4 linked regions of the Rattus norvegicus genome follow. The protein of the gene in region 2 binds, or shares a complex with, the protein of the main gene of each other region. Links are inferred from orthologs where the notes say so. Each region holds a gene or a part of one and is shown on either strand. Other genes may lie near its edges.

What was found.
Region 1: Strip2 (region 2) and Stk26 share a complex: the UniProt entries of both Homo sapiens proteins name them as parts of the core of STRIPAK complex. The link is inferred for Rattus norvegicus from reciprocal best matches to the Homo sapiens genes STRIP2 and STK26.
Region 3: Strip2 (region 2) and Stk25 share a complex: the UniProt entries of both Homo sapiens proteins name them as parts of the core of STRIPAK complex. The link is inferred for Rattus norvegicus from reciprocal best matches to the Homo sapiens genes STRIP2 and STK25.
Region 4: Strip2 (region 2) and Stk24 share a complex: the UniProt entries of both Homo sapiens proteins name them as parts of the core of STRIPAK complex. The link is inferred for Rattus norvegicus from reciprocal best matches to the Homo sapiens genes STRIP2 and STK24.

Annotation. Positions count from the first base shown.
Region 1 is NC_086039.1:135,236,500-135,241,097, reverse strand, and holds part of Stk26 (serine/threonine-protein kinase 26), read right to left. Parts: intron 3,621-4,598; coding exon 3,390-3,620; intron 1-3,389. UniProt on the Homo sapiens protein: Serine/threonine-protein kinase that acts as a mediator of cell growth. Modulates apoptosis. In association with STK24 negatively regulates Golgi reorientation in polarized cell migration upon RHO activation.
Region 2 is NC_086022.1:59,523,249-59,527,846, reverse strand, and holds part of Strip2 (striatin interacting protein 2), read right to left. Parts: intron 2,552-4,598; coding exon 2,477-2,551; intron 1,896-2,476; coding exon 1,798-1,895; intron 1,215-1,797; coding exon 1,088-1,214; intron 1-1,087. UniProt on the Homo sapiens protein: Plays a role in the regulation of cell morphology and cytoskeletal organization. Required in the control of cell shape. Calmodulin-binding scaffolding protein which is the center of the striatin-interacting phosphatase and kinase (STRIPAK) complexes.
Region 3 is NC_086027.1:101,614,468-101,619,065, reverse strand, and holds part of Stk25 (serine/threonine-protein kinase 25), read left to right. Parts: intron 1-160; exon of another isoform or gene 161-178; intron 179-3,247; coding exon 3,248-3,478; intron 3,479-4,179; coding exon 4,180-4,236; intron 4,237-4,598. UniProt on the Homo sapiens protein: Oxidant stress-activated serine/threonine kinase that may play a role in the response to environmental stress.
Region 4 is NC_086033.1:104,778,168-104,782,765, forward strand, and holds part of Stk24 (serine/threonine-protein kinase 24), read right to left. Parts: intron 3,568-4,598; coding exon 3,382-3,567; intron 1,575-3,381; coding exon 1,429-1,574; intron 1,060-1,428; coding exon 936-1,059; intron 165-935; coding exon 96-164; intron 1-95. UniProt on the Homo sapiens protein: Serine/threonine-protein kinase that acts on both serine and threonine residues and promotes apoptosis in response to stress stimuli and caspase activation.

The sequences.
Region 1 (4,598 bases), on a different chromosome or scaffold from region 2:
ATGTAAGTAGGTGACAGGAGAAACCTTTGAAACCTGGGGCTGAGGAGGGAGACTGAACTGTGAAGTTGTCAGAATAAAGTGACCGAGAATACCCATCGTAGGATATTCAATAAATACATGTCTGTTGAAATATGGGGTTTCTTAGAGATGGATTACGTTAAGCCTAAAGCCATTTGTATTTTGAGAAAAGAACATTTTACAATGGAGAAAGAAATGGCCATCAAGCTTTATCAGAAAACCCTACACACATTTTCAAATAAAACAATATTCCAGAGGCACTGAACATATTCTACATGCAATTACACATGAAGGTTTGGTTAAAAAATAAAAAGGCCATACAACTGTAGGTTTTACTCTGAAACACTTCACTTCATTCATTCTTTTTTTTAAAAAAATTACTGGTTGTAATAAATATGGATCTGAGGGTGGGGTCATATTCCCTTAACATAAAGGTAATTTCAGCAGCAAATACAGGCTTGATTCAAATTCCATTCAGTGCCTGAATGAGCTTCTTTTTAAAATTTACATCAAACTAACAAAATATTTAAGGATGATGAAAGATTCTTCAATTAGTATGAAGTCAGAAGAAAAGGGCTTGCAGACTGTAGAAGTCTTCATAAAGACTAACTTTGTCAAGACAAGCTGCAGTGAACGGAGAGGAAAGGAAACCATTGTGGTCACACTGATGTGTTTGTCTGGTTTTTTACTCTTGTTTTTAAAGATGGAGTTCTACAGTGAGCTCAGTCAAAATTAATACCTAGTAAATGTTTGCATGTCTGAAGGAGATCACGACAACTACACACAGTTTTAGAGAACGTATAATTTTCTCCCAAATGCAGTAAATTTTACTCCAGCTTACAGTGAAGCCTTGGTTATGTATGATATCCTGTGTAAATCCCATATCCCGTTTTGCTCAATTAAGTTGACTCACAAACTCCACTGCCATCTGAAATGCACCAACAGGCCCCCAGTACATAGCTAAGTCAGTTGACAAAGCTGTTCCCTCATGGTACTAACAGGATGTGGTCTTAAGTTATGCTGACTGCATTAAACAGAACCCTATTATATTTGATGTGGTTTTAGTTTACAATAAAAATGCATGCCTATGCAATCACAGTATGAAAATATAAATGAGAAATAATGAGTTGGTTAATTTCAGTGAAGTACTTAGCCCACCAGGGTGGTTCAATGGTAATCAAAAAGCTGCACAGGGTAATAGCAGGAGAATCACAAATTCAAGGCCAGCCCAGACTATACTTTAAGGAATAGGATTTAGCTTAGTGGTAATACAACACTCTGGGTCTCATCCTTACACACACACACACACACACACACACACACACACACGTGCATGCATGGGCACCCAGCCCATGCACACATGGGCCTGACTCAATTTTAAAGTAATTTTAAATCAGAAAACAGTTCTAAGTATTGTATGAATATCCACTCACCTCTAACAGCATTTATACAGTTTTATCATGAAGAAAAGGGTTCTTCAAATACCCTTTACAGGACTTCCATAAAGAATTGGTAAAGGCGATAAAAAATAAAAATTCCGTTTTAGCCTTTAGCAAACTAGTTTTCTGTCATGGGCTGCTCCAAATACATTTTCCCATCAGTATTTGGGGAAAACATCAAGTATTAGTTTGCACTATGAAGAGATGAAGTCATTCATAGATGACTAGTGTGTGGATACTCCTAGGCTAGGCTGAAGGGAGTATTTTAAAATATGATCTTTTCCAAATAAAAGCCCATGCAGCTGCAGCACTTTTGTCTATGAGAGGGCTATGAATAAAGGCTTAAAGTATCAAATAAATCCTTGCTACCATGGTATTGCTGATTTAAAATAAAATATATCTAAAAACCCGATTTTACACAGGGTTGATTTAATATTTTAAGCCAGCCACCCAAATTAGCTTATCTGATCTAAGTGCCTAAAAATAGCAAGGGTTCAGGTTTGCTCTAGAGAGAGTCTGGAATGGCCAGGATTCAATCCAGAAAGAGCAAACTAGAAAGAGCACTAACACCTATGAACACTGCCTGCAACCAGGCCAATTGTGAGAACTGGGGGAGAACCTGAAGGTCCTGAGATCGAGAGATAACCCCGAAGAGTCCCATAAATGAATAGGACTTGCTAAGTTAGGTATCTTACTCTGCTTTACTAAGGGATATAACACCTAGGACTAGTCAAGCTAAACTTCTTGTCATCAATGAATTCACAACCCAGTGAGAGAAAAATGCATAGATAACCACTATAACTTAATATATTAAGGGTCATACTTATGTACGCCATCAGTTCTGAGGTTGAGACAGATTAACCTATTAAGAGCAGAATGTGGAAGCCCAGAGGTACAGCTTTTCTGCAGCAAAGAGGCCTTAATGATCACTGATGTTTCTCTTCCACTGTACCAAAAGTTCAGGGATGGAAGAGGGCATATGAACACTGGTGTACTTTCCAGAAGTGGCTGTTAACTCTAACAGTGGTTCAGTTGACACTATAAATGGTACTTGATTCTGCCCAGAGGATAAAGACTGACGATTCCTATTTTATGGCACTGCCTTTTGAGCCAGGCACGGTGTTGCACACCTTTAATCCTACCAGGCAGATATCTCTGAGATCAAGGCCAGCCTGGTCTACATAGTGAGTTCCAGGAGAGCCAGGGCTACCTAGTAAGATCGGGTCTCAAAAGTAAACAAGATACTGCCTTTCTCTGTAGCTGAGATGAGCCAGCAAGCTCTGACAGCACATCCTAGTGATGCCTGCATAGAGGAAAGCCTCTGACGGTGCAAGCCAAGATCCTGGGAACAGGAAACATAATGAAAAAGAAGAATGGGAAAGAGAAAGTAGAGCTGGCCTCAAGGCCCAGAAACGTATCCTTCTCTTTAATTCTGCTAAGAAATACTTTGTTTTCTGTAAGAAGATTCACTCAAATAGAATTGACATATAAACACCTGCATGTATTTAATATTTAAAATGAAGTATTAAGACAGGATACTTTCAAATACCCATTACTAGGAACATCGACAAGGATGGTGAAGAATCTGCCAGACACGTCCTTGTTTTTGGCTCTTTGTAGTAAGTGGGCAGATTCTATCAATTAGTGTGAAGTGAGTATAGGCAGCAAGCACGAGTGAAAGATAAAGGCGCAGCACACGGTCTGTGGTGAGCTCGAGAAAGCTGTGGTTCCTAGGCTGACGTTCTCTATCCAAATAATGGTGAGAAGAAGAAGAAGAATAACAAAGTGTACAAAGGAAGCTTGAGAACATATCTGCTATTTAAAATATTAAAGATACAGTACCTTAAAAAGATACTAGCTTTCAAAAACAGAATTAAAAGAAAGCAAAGCACAATGAAAACAACTTATAAAATAATATAGCATGCATGTTACCTTTAGATAGGACCCATAGTATTTTGTAACATATGAGCTGTCGCACTGACTCAAAACAGTTATCTCTTGTTGGATGTCTTCTATTTCATCCTCGGCTTCCTCAAGGTCAATGATTTTAATTGCAACCACTTGCTGAGTTCGGTTATCGATTCCTTTGAAAACTTCTCCAAAGGAGCCTTTTCCAATGCGCTCTAATTTTGTGAACAGTTCTTCTGGATCCGCGATATTATTCTAAGGGGAAGAAAGAAAAAAAGGAAAAACCTCAATTATCGAAATCATTTTTTTTTCTTTTAGGTTTGTTTGTATGTGTGTTTACCTTTATTTGCCCACATACATGTAAGGGCACCTAGACCACATGTGTGTCTGGTACCTGTGGAGGCACAAAGATGGCATTGGTTTCCCTGCAACTGGAGTAATAGCCGGTTGTGAGCTGTCAAGTGGGTGCTGGAACTGAATGTGTATCTCCAGCAAGAGCAGCTATTGTAGTGCTCTTTTTTTTTTAAAGATGTTTTGTTTTGTTTTATCAAAGCTAACTGGAGCAGCCTTTGGGGATAAACTTAAGTATGTAGAAGGTAACTGGATGAATACATAATGTCAACCGAGGAAAACAACAGCAATAACTTTCCCACCAAGACCTATTATCTTCCCAGCCACAGATTTATACTATCAGATAGAATTTTTTTCTCATGAAGCAGTTCTAAAATTCAATAAGTGGTTGGTTACCCACATCACAGTCACCAGTGAACACACCTTGCCTGGCTGGACCTCAGTCCAGCATGCAAAGTTCACGGGTAAGGTTGGTGAGGATAATTCTCCCCACACAGGCCTGTTCTGACGTTTTGGTACTTAGTCAGCAGGTAAGAAGCTTCTAGAGCAAGGCCAGCTCAGTATGAGTTCCCCATCTTTCAACCAAACTGAATGGTACACACACACACACACACACACACACACACACACAGGCACACACAGACACACACACACACCACACACACACATACAAACACAGACACAGACACAGACACAGACACACACACAGACATACAGACACAGGCACACACAGACACACACACACACCACACACAGACACAGACACACACACACACACACAGACATACAGACACAGGCACACACACAAACACAGACACACACACACACACACTCACACACACACACAGAGTTAGTAGGAATGTGAATCAATCACACACTGGA
Region 2 (4,598 bases):
CTTGTCTTCATCTTGTCCTTGTACCTCGATAATGCCTACAGGCCCAAGGCAAATACCTTTGTGGGAAAGCAAAGCAAAATCTTGACTTTAACCCCTATCACCTCACCTATAAACCAGGGAGGGAGAAACTGGAGTACTCAGGAGGCAGAGGTAGGAGGATCTCTGTGAGTTTGAGGCTATGAGTTCAAGGACAGCTGCACAGTGAGACTTTGTCTCAAAACAAAAATATCCAAAAAGCCTACCAGTCCCCCCCCGCCTCCCACCCCCCAAAAAAACATGGATAAAATAAGGACTCCTAGGGTAAGAAGCTCACAAAGTTTTGTAGGATGTCAAGCACATTATAGGAATTTCATAATTGTGTGTTAAATCAGATATGTGATCCCTGCCAACTCCTGTGACTTCACATATCCGCAGATCATCTCTGTCACCCCACTCTGAGACAGAACTCCAGCAATATTTAATTAGTTTCCAAATGTTCTCTGTACTTTCTCCTCTGAGCTTTCACATATTGTGTTTTCTGCTTGAATTGGTTTTTCTCTTCCCTGATAAGTCCCATTTGATGGCTTACATCTGTTTCTGAGACTTAGATTAAAAGTTGCCTCTTCTCTACCTCAAGTTGGATTAGGTATTTCAACAGCATCTAGCGCCTATCTACAGCACCCCACTCTACGATTGGGCATTTAGATATCTGTTACAAGACTGTACGGTCTGTAAGAGTCTGAACTGTGTCTCATTTAGAATTAGATCTCAGATTCAGAAAAGTGTTTCACACACAGATGAGTATGGCCAATATGCCCAGTGTCCTTTCCTGAGTGACTGAATTAGTCTAACTTGCTAGGAGTACTCTTAAGAATCTCTAGGCAGTCCTGGAGCTAACCAACAAAGAATATAGAATTTGCACCTTTGTAAGATGACTCCCCACACCCCACTCCATATCCTCACCATACACTCATGCCACAAGTAGCTGGACTCTCTCATTTGGGACAAACCAAGGTGAAGTAAAATACACAGCAGTACGAGGATTCCTGATGGCCCTGTGGTATGAGGAATACTGGGAACTTGTGACGTAGTGTCCCTAGCTGCTCACCTGGTAGATATGGTTGAGTTTGAAGTGTTTGAGAAGTAGAAGGAGCAGGGCAGAGATACTCTTCACAATGATCTCCTTGTGTCTGTTCACATCAATGCCTAGCTTCATGCTCTGGAGAACAGTCGCACTGCAAGGGAAAGAGGAAGCATTAGGAGAAAGGTAGGGATGAAGGACGGATGTCTAGGATCAAAGACCCAAGGAGTTGGGTTAGATAGTCATGGGGATATATATAAAACACACATATCTATCTATCTATCTATCTATCTATCTATCTATCTATCTATCTATCTATCTATCTATCTATCTATCTATCTATCTATATCTATAGTCAGAAGATATATAGTTAGAATTTAGGAAACCTGAACTTCTCTGCTAGGGAAGTCTCCAAAGTTCCCATTTCGGAATCTATCCAGGAAAAAGCTTTCATCATCTTTGTTAATGTGTCCTGTCTCTGGCAAACTTATCCCCTGGCACTGCCTACTCATGCATCTGGCAACTAGTCACCAGCACTGAGGTTTTCTGTTGGACCCTAGTTCTGAGCTACATAGAGCTCAGTAGGTAGAAGGTTCTGCAGGAGACAGGAAGGTACATGTGGAAAAGGAGAGGTTTCTCTTAAGACCATTCCTGTTACCACAGTGCCACCAGTGGGACAGAGAGGGCCTGAAGACAAGACCCTGGTGTCTCGCAGCCGCCCCAGTTGAAGTACTCACGGCATCTCTTCAGGGAGGACATCTGCCAGGATATTGATAGAGTCTGTCTTAGCCTTGGAGGTGGGGGCTGCAGCCAGCAGAATCTTAAGCAGAGCAATCTAAGAGACAGAAAAAGAGGAAAGCCACCATTGTCTATCCCACTCAGCAAAATGGTGGTTCTTCCAAACTTCTCTAGCCCAAATGAAAAGTATTTCAAAGTCTTTATCTAAGATCTTCCCTCAGTGACTAAGCCTTGCATATAGTAATGCAAACAGGTATGTATCCTGAGGTCTGTCTCTGAGGCCAAGGGAGAAGGCCAAAGCAAGTTTCTAGGCTGTTTTGTTTCAGGGTTGCTCCCAAAGTGAACAGAAAGAACAAACTTGGAGGGGCAATGTGGAGAAATAAGTAGGAGAGATAAGCCCAACATCCTCCCTTCTTGTTCTTCCTCTGACCCTATCAGCATCTTCACTATTCCCCGCCAGAGGCTACCAAAGACGTAGTAGAGAATGGCAGACTTATGCTGGTGGTAATTAGCTAGCAGCGGACACATCGTCTGTGGGTGGACCTTACTTTACTCTGCACCCCAGGCCCCAGTAGAAAGGCTAGGGAGAATGGCACCTGCAGAGGAGTCACAAGGGAAGTTCAGATCCTTAGTCCCTCTTAGTAGAAAAGGGCAGCTCTGGTCTAGCCGGCTCCTTACCATGTACTGGGGGAGGCTGTACAGCATGCCCTGGTAGAGGATTTCACTCGGTGTTTCTGGTATCACCTCTTCTCCCTATGGCAGAAAACACAGTTGACTAAAGGTCACATGTTGGTTGCTGAGGGGTAGTGCGAACTGAGAACTGCGATGGGAGTTGGCCCTGGCATGAGTGGCCATTCCTCTTTAGGCTCTAGTTTTTTTCTTTGAGCTGGTTTAGTTGATCTCTGCTATCTTTTTCCAGTCTTTTGAGTGTGCCATTCCTAGTATCTGAAATTAAATCACTCTTTCTGTGTCACAGGCTCAATCAGGAGTCAGAACTCCAATCCAGGAAATGGCTCAGACTACTGCTTTGTTACACACACACACACACACACACACACACACACACACACACACACACACACGATACATATGGGTTTAACCTAAGCTATAAATATATAAATACACTCAACATATTGAGGTATGCTACACAGAGGCACTTCCTATGATGTTAATCAGAGATCAAAAAAGGTAGGTGATTCATTCAATAGGGAGGGTATTGATGGAGTTAAGTAATTCATGATCAGAGAAAAAAGATGAAAAGGAGCTTTTAAAGGGTTAGAAACTAGTTTTCACCCTCTCTCCAGTATCCTTATCATCATCATTTTCTTCTTTCTAAGTGCCCCATGTATATCCCTGTCTTCTTCATGACCCTAATGGATCCCTTTATCAGAAGTAGGGTCTCAGATGCTCAAGAGGCAGTCCAGGCATCACTGAAATCTTTGACCAATGCAGTCCTTTTTCCCTTAAGGACCTTTTTCCCTTAAGTGACTTAGAGTGAGAGTCACTGCTATAAGGCAAGGAGGATTAACTGTGCCAATGGATATAAGCCTTCAATAGTCTTTCAGAAGAGCCTGGTGAGCTTATCATGTGTGCCTTCCTGCTCCCCAAAAGGCTCACTACTTTCTCTCTCTTCAACCAATCCCCTCACCCCAGAGCCCCTCAAGTTGTTGACTCTGCCTCACACAAAGACAGAGTGATGAGAGAGACACCATGTCTTTGGAAGACCAGATTGGCCAGTCTCTGCTTGCCATCTGACATGCAAGAGGACTTCCTGTGCTCTACTCGGGCTTGGGGTCCTTCCTACAATCTTTCTTTCTAAGATGTATTTTCACTATTTTTAATTTTGCACAGTTGTGTGCATATGGGTATATGAATATGAGTGCAGGTGCCGGTGGAAGCCAGAGGTACTGGATCCTCTAGAGTTACATATGGTTGGAAGCTGCCAAGTGTGAGGACTCTGGCCAGCTCAGGCGTGGCCATCATGGCTCTGGCAGGCCTTGCCCTTCTCCCTGATTCCTTCTGCCTTGCTAAAACCATTAGATGACTTTCCCAAAGCTGGCTGCCAAGGTCTATTCCCATTTTGTCCAGTTCCTCCTCCTGAGGCTGACTACCTATCACATTATTGAAGTCTAACAATCAAAAGCCCCCTTTGGCTCTCACAATTGTAATGTCCAATTAAAATCAAACACCTCATCCAAACACACGGTTTCCCCTTTTACCTTTATAAACTGCATTTGCCTATGGGCTACATCTGTTTCCTCTCTATCCAGAGGCAGTCCTTTGTCCCACTCCAGGACAAATACCCTTGACCCCTTGCTCCCTTCTCCTTTTACCTTGTCCTCTATCTCCCGTCTTTGTCTCTTGCTTCTTGCTCTTTGTTCCTCTGGAGCAAATAAATTTCCTTTGTGCTGAGAACTTGGTCTTGGGGTGTCCTGAGCTAATTTTAGAGGTTCCTTACTATGTGGGTGCTAGAAATTGATCTCAGGAACACTGGAATAACAGGAAGTACTCCTAATCACTGAGCCATCCTTCCAGCCTACCTATTCTTTCCTTTCTCTCGATAATGGTTATCAGGTCTTAGTTAGTTGCTCTGTTGGATCATTTCTTTGTTTCTTCCTTCCTTCCTTTTCTTCTTTCTTTCTTTTCTTCTTTCTTTCTTTCCTTCCTTCTTCCCTCTTTTCTCCTCTTCTCTCTCTCTCCCTCCCTCCCCCTCTCTCTCTCTACCAAAAGGGTCTCATGTGGCCCAGGTAGGCCTCAACTAGATAAATAGCTGAGGATGACCTTAAACTCCAGACCCTTC
Region 3 (4,598 bases), on a different chromosome or scaffold from region 2:
GGCCTGCTGGAGCAGAAACAGGCAGAAAAACAAAAATAAAAGAACAAAACAAAACATCAACAAAACAGGCAGGTAAAGGTCTGCTATGTGGACCTTATTCTGCACCTGACTTTCAGGGCTGGCATTGAGCAGAGGATCAAGTGGTCACTGCCCAGACGTGAAGTGACAGGAGGCTAAGGTATTGTCACACTGATCACATCCACCTTTATCAGTTGTCTCTACACTGATGAGTGTGGGGAGAGCCCATGGCCTGGAGTGGTTCTTTCTGATCTGGCTTGGATCCAGTGCTGATCTTGAAATAGCTGAAGTGTCTGACCTATCAGCCACACTAGAGATTTTTTTCTTGGCTTTTCATTTAAGTAGGAGTGGCTGGGATCAAACACTACTTCCTGGCCAGTACAGCCTAAGGAACACAGGCAATCCTCAGCTTTCTCTGTCAGGCCAATCTCAGTGCGGCCTTTCAGGAGCTCAGGTGGCAGATCTACTCCAAGCATCTATTGCTGTTCCCCGAGAGCTGGTCTTAGGATGTGGCTTCCAGTCCTGATGTGGCTGTGAGAACAGTCACTCTGCATTGGACTGCACTACCTTTTTCTTTTCTTTAAAAAACAAAAAGCAACAATTACATTTATTTATGGATGGGTAGGTCTGTATGTGTAGGTGTTAGAAGACCACTTATGAGAGCTGGTTCTCTCCTACTATGTGAGTTGGGATCAAACCCAGGTTGTTAGACTTGGTGACATGTGCTTTTAACCACTCAGCCACCTCCTGGTCTGTCTTTTTTTTTTTTTTTTTCCCCTTTCCTTTTAATAAGATTCATTTACCTTTATGTGTATGCATGAGTATCTACATATATGTATGTGCACCACATGTGGGCAGTGCTTGAGATTGTGTGCAGTGCAAACCGCAGCTCTGTGTAAGAGCAACAAGGACTCTTAACCACTCTTCAGCCCCCTGGTCAAAGTAGGGTACATATGGATGCCACAGCTGGGCTGCCTAGAGTGCCTACCTGGGAACTGTGTGGAGGTTAGTGGTACATACTCAGACCTCACAAAGGCAGTTTTGCTTGGAGAGGTCAGGTGACTTCTGTGTTAAGACACTACCCTTGTTCCTGGAGCTCTTCCCAAGCTTGTCTCTGGTCTGCCTCATCTTATTCTACAGAGTTCTTGGCTGGTAAGGGGCTGGGTAGTTTGGTTCTCTATGTCACCCTATTCTTTTTTTTTTTGGTTCTTTTTTTCGGAGTTGGGGACCGAACCCAGGGCCTTGCGCTTCCTAGGCAAGCACTCTACCGCTGAGCTAAATCCCCAGCCCCTATGTCACCCTATTCTTTTGTGGTTAAAACCTTAGAAATGTAGCTAGTCAGCAATTTCAGATTGAAATGTCCCTGGAAAGTCTTGGATTGGGTTTAGTCAGGTCTCTAAGACCTATTGCTGTGCTCCAAGAGAAAGGGCTGTGGCAGTTAGGCCTCAGGGAAGCAGGCAATCATGTTTATTCTTGGTGGACAGGCTTTGTAAGTAAACACCTAGGACAAGCTCTTCCTAAGCACAGAGGGATTTGAACGTCAGTACTTACACAGTTGTAAATAAGGGTGGTTTTGCCTTTTCATGTATTGCTTTTTTTTTTTTTCTTCCCAATCCTGGGGATATTAGGCAAGCACTCGGTCACTGAGTTATCTATCTCCCTAACCCTATTCTTTGAAAACATCAGCTCACAGCCCCTATGATCCATATGTGTTGGTTGTAAGACAACTTTCTGGGAGTCCGTTCTCTTATTCCCCATGTGGGTCTAGAGAATCAAACTCAGGTTGTTGGGCTTGGTAGCAAGTACCTTTACTAAATGAACCATCTTACCAGGCCTGTTTGGTTCCTTTTAAATGGCACCAAAACACTGTTTGGGGGACATCCTTTTTGTGAGAGTATTTCCTAATGGAGATAGAACCTAACAACGTTGAAAAATTGGATGAGACTCAACTTTCCCATCCCAGGTCTTTTGGCAGCTTGGCCAGTGGTTTGGAGGGCCATGTGCTTTTCCACAGTCCAACAGGTGTCACAGGTCAGGGTATGGTCACTCTGTGGTGGCACTAGGAGTCACTTTCTTCTTTCCTTATCTGTGCAGCCCTGGAGTATCCTCAGTTCCTAGTTCAAATATTGTAGTGTGATTTGGACAGAGGATTTACCTTTGCCATCCTGGTTCTTCACTTGTAGTGTACCGGTCTTTAAACCAGGTACCTCAGCATGGTTGGTTCAGCAATGATTAGGTCTTATTTGTTTAAATCCGAGACCCACATAGGGTAGCATTGTGTGTTGAGTATCTAGAGTCAAGCATCTGAGAAAGTGTTCAATGCAGTGCTGGTATGGGGGTGTAGCTGGCTAGAGGATTGATTTGGGAATGGAGAAGTATTTCAATGGGTGTAGATTTTAGGAATGTGGAAGACATAAGTTAACTTGTGCTAAACTTTAATTTTTCTATTTTTTTCTCCTTTATTTGCGTTTTCAAGACAGGGTTTTTCTGTTTAGCTCTAGTTGTCCTGGAATTTACTTTATAGAAACCAAGCTAGCCTCAAACTCAGAGATCTACCTACCTCTGCCTCCTGAGCGCTTGGACTAAAGGCATGCACCACAATATCCAGCTAAATTTTATTTTTATTTATTTTAAAATTTTGTGTGTGTGTTTGTGTGCACGAAGATCCTTCAAGGCCAGAGACCTCAGATCTCGTAGAGCTAAAGTTCTAGGCAGTTTTGAGAATTGAATTCCAGTTCTCTGCAACAGCAGTATGTACTTTTAACCACTAAGCCATCTTTTCAGTCCTCAGCTCACGTTAATTTTAATTGTTTGGTTTTTATTAGTACAGTTTTAAATTTACAGTAAAATGAGGTTTAAAATACACACACACACACACACACACACACACACACACACTCACTACCTGTGACTCCTGTCAGGTCTTAGCCTGGCTCCTTGTTAGACAACTGGTGAAGGCACCTTGAGATGCGGTATTTCCTAAGGTTTATAGTGTACATCAGGATTCACTATCAGATCCATTGACCATAGTGTCAGTTGGAGAGTGCAGAGTTCTATTTAGGTCTTCTGAACAAGGGATAAGGGCAGAAACACACTGAGGTGAGTTCCCTTGAGTTCCTTACAGTGGGTCATGCCCTCTGTCAGTAGGGCAGTCTTGTCTGACTAGTATTTCTCTAGTGACTATTGCCCATGCAGTGTCCCAACATTCTTTCCCTGTTGGCTTCTATAGCATTCTCGTGTGGACCCAGAGGAACTCTTCACCAAGCTTGACCGAATTGGCAAGGGCTCATTTGGGGAGGTGTACAAGGGGATCGACAACCACACGAAGGAGGTGGTGGCCATCAAGATCATTGACCTGGAAGAGGCCGAGGATGAGATTGAGGACATCCAACAGGAGATCACCGTGCTCAGCCAATGTGATAGCCCTTACATCACTCGCTACTTCGGCTCCTACCTAAAGGTGCCTACGAGGAGGAGGTTGTCTATAGTGGTTGGGGATGGAGCACTCTGAAAGGTCTGTGTCAGGCTGTCTCCTTTGTTTCCAGAGGGATTAATATGTGCCCAAGGATAGAGAGCAGAGGAGATGGCTATGGGCACTTAGAATCCCTGTGGAAGGGCAGAGCGGTCCCCCCTCCCTGATAATCTCAGCTTTATAAAAGCAGCCTGTTCTCTTGAGAAGTGCCAGTTCCAAAGTGTCTGTCTATTTGTGGGTATTGTTAGACACAGTGTGAGGGGTCCCTGCAGGCAGTTGATAGTTTTGGGGACTGCTTAGAGGGTACTTGGGCAGAGTAGACTCAGGTTCTGCTCTGAGCAGTTGGTCTGTCCAACAGGTGTCTGTACCAGAGGTATGGGTAGGTGCGTGGTCAGAGAGGCCTTTTGTCTGTTCTTCCTCCTAAAGAGGGTCTGTGTAGACCAGGCTGGCCTTCAACTCACAAGAGATCTGCCTGCCTCTGTCTCCCAAGTATAGGAATAAGGTGTGTGCCATTTCTAGCTTCCTTGCCGGGCTAGAACCCTATCCTATTTGGAACTTGCCTGGTATAGTTGCTGTATGTCCCAGGCCCTTAGCTGACTACTTTCGGTGTCCTTAGAGGGGTGGCCTGTGGACTTGGGTATTCCTGCTTCATTTGCTGCCCAGGCACTGACAGGTTTCTCTGCTCCCAGAGCACCAAGCTATGGATTATCATGGAGTACCTGGGTGGTGGCTCTGCACTGGACTTGGTAAGTTTTGACTCAAGCAATGAGCAACTTGTTCTTGAGGCTTGTCTTTCAGTGACCCAGGACCCACTGCCGTGCTTTTAGGCTTGTGCTTGTGGGCTTTCTCAGGCTACATATCACTGTTCTATATGCTATATACCTATCAGGAATTGTCAGTTCCCCAAGCAAATCACTGTTTATCTTTCCTTGGTTGATGCTAAAAGAAGTCTTGGGCCTCTACTGGGCTAGGGCGTAGGCACAATTAGAGCCCCAGACAAATAAGAGAGTCAGGGCTGTTGCTGACCTATTCTCATCTTTATAGTAACAGGGAAGATTAAAGTAACTCTTAAGTTTTCTGAAAACAGCCTCTGTCACCCTTCCTTACT
Region 4 (4,598 bases), on a different chromosome or scaffold from region 2:
TTAATGCCCCTAACTTGTACCAACAGCCACCCTCAGAAGGACAGCCCTGGTCCCCTTCCTCCCTTCCCCCCATCCCTGGCAGCCAAGGCTCTTACCTCCGCAAACAGAGGAGAAATGATTGTGGACAAGCACTGAGAGAAGGGCCTCTTTGGGAAGTCTTTCATCTTGGAGAAGGAGAGAAGGGACTATTAGAAGCAGGCACCGCTGCCATAGGCAGAATCCTACCAAGGATGACTGGATTCTCCAGCCGCCCCCTGAGGAAACTATTTCTCTCTACAAAGGGGCGCTACCCACGTAGCTGTGAACCCACTGCAAGATGCCAGGCGTGAACGCCCTAGACAAAGACATGAGTGCTCTGCAGGTTTTGCTGAGGAAACCTTAGAGAGCTGAAGCCAGGTACTCTGTCCGTACCGCCAGAGTGAGAGACTCCCACTCTCTCTGAACTAATGAGCTCCTCAGGCCTATGCAGCCACACAGATGGACAGACAAACTCATCTTTAAAACATAACTTTTTGTAAATTTAAGTGGAAAACCACCTCACCAACATTAAGTCTATATTAAGTATCAAAAGAACATACTGATCTTTAAGGGCCTGAAATTAAAATTCCCGGAGGGAAATCAGGGTGTTGTAAGCCCGACAGCTACTCAGAGTTTTCACACGTGAAGCGTCACATCCAAGTCCACCATGTGGCTGAGGGTCAGGAGGACCGTGTTACACAAGGCGAGGGTAACGACTCAGCACGGAGCAGACCGGCACCCACGCTCAGGCCCACATCTCAGTCCTCAGGTGGTCAGACAGAGCTCAATCTCTAACCCGTCAACTCCCTAAGGGCAGATGCCAGCAAGGAGCTGCTTGGAGGGGCACCTCGTTTGCTCCCACAGCAGGCTTATTGTGAACGATTCCCCAGGGCCACTGGCTGGTAGGCACGCTGTACCTTATTTCTTTCCAAATCTGAGGGCTGAAGAGTTCCGTTCTCCAGATTCTTGGGGTCTTTCTCCCGGATGGTAAAGATCCAGTCCCCAGAGTCGCTGCCTCCAGACGCCTGGCTATCTGTCTCCCTTGGAATAGAAATCCCAAGTTCACCAGCACAGACAAGGCCAGGGGCTGCACTGCGCAGACCAATGACCCCCGGCCCCCCACCCCTGGCCCACCCCAACCACTGCCACTGCCACCTCCCGCACACAGTGGCCTCAGCTCTCCTCAGGATCCATCTGCCAATTTACTGTTCGTCTTTCTTGGGTCTCAGTGTCTCCACAGGTTCCTCCTCCTGGCCATGGCTCTTGTCTGTACTCTCTTTTGCTTGCCTGCCCCCCCCCCACCCCAGCTCTACCCCTATCTGCCACAGCTACATACACAGAAGCCCACCCCCAAAGAAGCAGGGTCCAAGAGTGTGCTGCAGGCGTGGGGAGCCCCACAGGGCGACTTACACATCTGAGTCCTCCGAGCTGGAGTCCTCGTGACTCTGCTCCGCCTTCCACCTCTTGTACCTGTCGATGAGCTCAGTCAGGTAGGACGTTTTCTTTGCATTGCGGATTATAAATTTGTGCTTCAATAACTCCTTAGCAGTGGGCCTCTGGAAAACACACGTCGACATAAGCAGGAGAGGAAGTTTCTTCTTCATCCCCCTCTAACAGACAAGACTTTTGGGTCAAAATGCCAGACCACCGTACCACGGAGCAGCCCTGGGTTCTGCTTCTGAGCCTGCTTCTGAGCCTGCTTCCCGCTCAGGCGTGCTGGAGAAGTCATCATACCTGTGCCCAAGTTTACAGGCACAAGGAAAAATGGCACAGAGTTTCCAACAAAGACTGAAGCATCCTACTAGAGCAGTTCACCAAAGCAAGAGAACTCCTGCGAAGAACTCCACAGAGAACCTTGTGAGTACTGTCTGAGAGAGTTCATCTTGTTTTTACTTGGTTTCTCATGGTAAGTGCTGGCTAAGGGAAATACGTGTCGTTATGATCTCCTCCGGTGTTAGACGAATACCAGAAACTGAGTTCACAGGTTCGACTCATCTATGAGGTAGGGGCAGGAGTCAGGAGAGACCTGACTGGCTCCTGGCTGGGTCCCCTCAGTCACCAGCACTCCCTACTTAGAAAAATAGGTCTATGAAGCTATCCCCACACTGGTGACTGGGACCAATAGCTTGATCCCCACCCAGGAATGGCACAACTCCCACCAAATGCACAGAGAGTTTAAGCCAGTGGCTCCCCCTACTGGCATCAGCTCCCGGCTGTGACATCCAAACATCCCAGTGTCCTCAGCTCTGGAGCCCTCGTGTCTGAAGGTCCAGGGTAAGCCAAGGTAGAAGGGGGCATGGTGGGAATGAACCAGCACTGCGTGTGCTTAGAAGAAAATGTACACACATTCGGATCCCTCTTACACTACACTCTGCAGCACCACGGCACAACAACCAACCACCAGGACTGACACCAAAACCACACCCACCATCTGATACCTGACCCAGTACCAAATGCTGACCTGCTGACCTCAGCCTGTAGCCCCTGGGAGCCGAGACTGGGTTGCCTGTCCTTTCTAAATCCTTTGCCAGAACTGGCTCCTACTGGGAGCCACATGATGCTCCTGTGAAATTCATCTTCTCACCATTTTAGACAAAAGCTCACGGGGACCCTCCATGATTATTCTTTGGGTTCAGTGAAGCCTTGGCCCAGCTAAACCCAAAACAAAGCTAGGGCACGGAGGGCTACATGGGACGAAACACACAGGCTGCCCCAGTTCTCAGAGAAAAATGAGGAAAGCTCAGAGTAGCTAAGGCCACAGGCTTTGCCACCACTGAGTAAACACAGAGAAAAGGCAGGGTGGCAGAGTGGGTGGCTCATGTGTACCTACGTGTCTGTCTCCTGGCACATGACAACTGGAAACTGAACATCTGCTTCCTTTATTTTGAGTCTATGCTCTGCTACTGCTGAAGTGGCTTTCTAGTTTTACAGCCTGATTTTTCTCTATCAATATTAAAAACTGATACTCCTACCTCACAATACTAAGTAAAATATTCTTCAGGCTCAATGAATCTAAGATAAAATAATTACATCTTAAATCCCTGAAAGGCAAGAAGGCAACATGGGCAACAAAAACTAGGCATCCATAATTAAAGGGACAGGGAAGTGGGGGAGCCCAGCCGAGGCAGACCAGCCTGGTCTGCAGAGAGTTCTGGGAGGGAGGGAGGGAGGGAGGGAGGGAGGGAGGGAGGGAAAGAAGGAAAGAAAGAGAGAGAGAGAGAGAGAGAGAGAGAGAGAGAGAGAGAGAAATTGAATTCATTTGCCAAGATTCCAGAGACCAGGGAGACGGCTGGAAGAGCAGCTGGCACAAGCCCAACAGAGGAAATGCAGACCAAGCCGACCCCAGGAAGGGCCCGCACTCACGAAGCTGGGCTCCTTGTTCAGGCAGGCCTCCACGAACTCCTTGAGGGGTCTGCTGTAGCTGCCCTCCAGCGTGGGAGGGTTGTTCTTTGGGATAAGGAACAGCACCTTCATGGGGTGCAGCTCAGAATGTGGCGGCTCGCCTTTGGCCAGTTCTATGGCTGTGATGCCGAGGGACCAGATGTCCGCCTGCAAGGACAAAAGCATCTTAAAGGCACGGAAAAGACCCACCTTCAGACAAGCACAAGGGAGGGGAAAGTACGTGTGCTTCACTCTCAGGTTCTGAAAAAGACCGTTATTCTGAACTACAAAACACACAAGCCCTTAGCATGATTTTAACATAGGAAACAAGTGGACAGATTTTATGTAGCAAATGCTACATAGAAATACAAAACTGCTCCAGTAGCGATGCAAACGGCCACGTCTACGGTAGACATCATGCCTGTGTCAGGTGTGCTCAGTGGGGACTTTGCAGCCCTAGCAGCAGCAGCCAACGGAGCAGATGAGGAGGAGGAACGGCGTCCCTTGAGCAGCACCTGGTGCCACGCACTTCGGTTCAGACCAAGTGAGCACCCTGGTCTCAAATCAGCTCTACAATCAGGGTCTTACAACACTAGACAAACAGCTTTCCCTAAGCCCATTGGTCCCCTTGATTTTCACAAGGGAGGTAGTTACAAGGGTGTAGGAAGGGACAACTGTGTATATTACCACTGTGCCTAGAAATTACAGCCTTTGTGTTCTGTTTGATTGCATTTGCAGTGGTGGGCACTGAACCCGGGGCACATGCTCTCCATCAGTGCTACCGAATGTTTATTACAACACACAGACATGGACAGCATTAACATAGTCATACATACAGCACACAACGGTAATCATTACTGTCACTTCCACACAGACTTTGGTAAGGATAGTGACCTGTAATCCCAGCACTCAGGAGACAGAGGCAGCAGGATTGCCACAAGTCTGAGGCCAGCTCAAGCTACATACACAGCAAAATACTGGAGCTTTTTATAGTAGAACCTTGTCTCAAAGAAAGAGACAAACAGACAAAAGCTATCTTGACACCTGCCCCCAGTACTTCGATATGCCAGCCAAGCAGGGCTTGCCTGCATCCTGACACTGGTAGTAGAAATGCAGCTCCTGAACTTGGAGCTTTCCCAGGCTGTGTGCACAGCAGCTGGAGGGCTGGGTGCATGGCGGCTTTCGTGTGGTACTGGGGG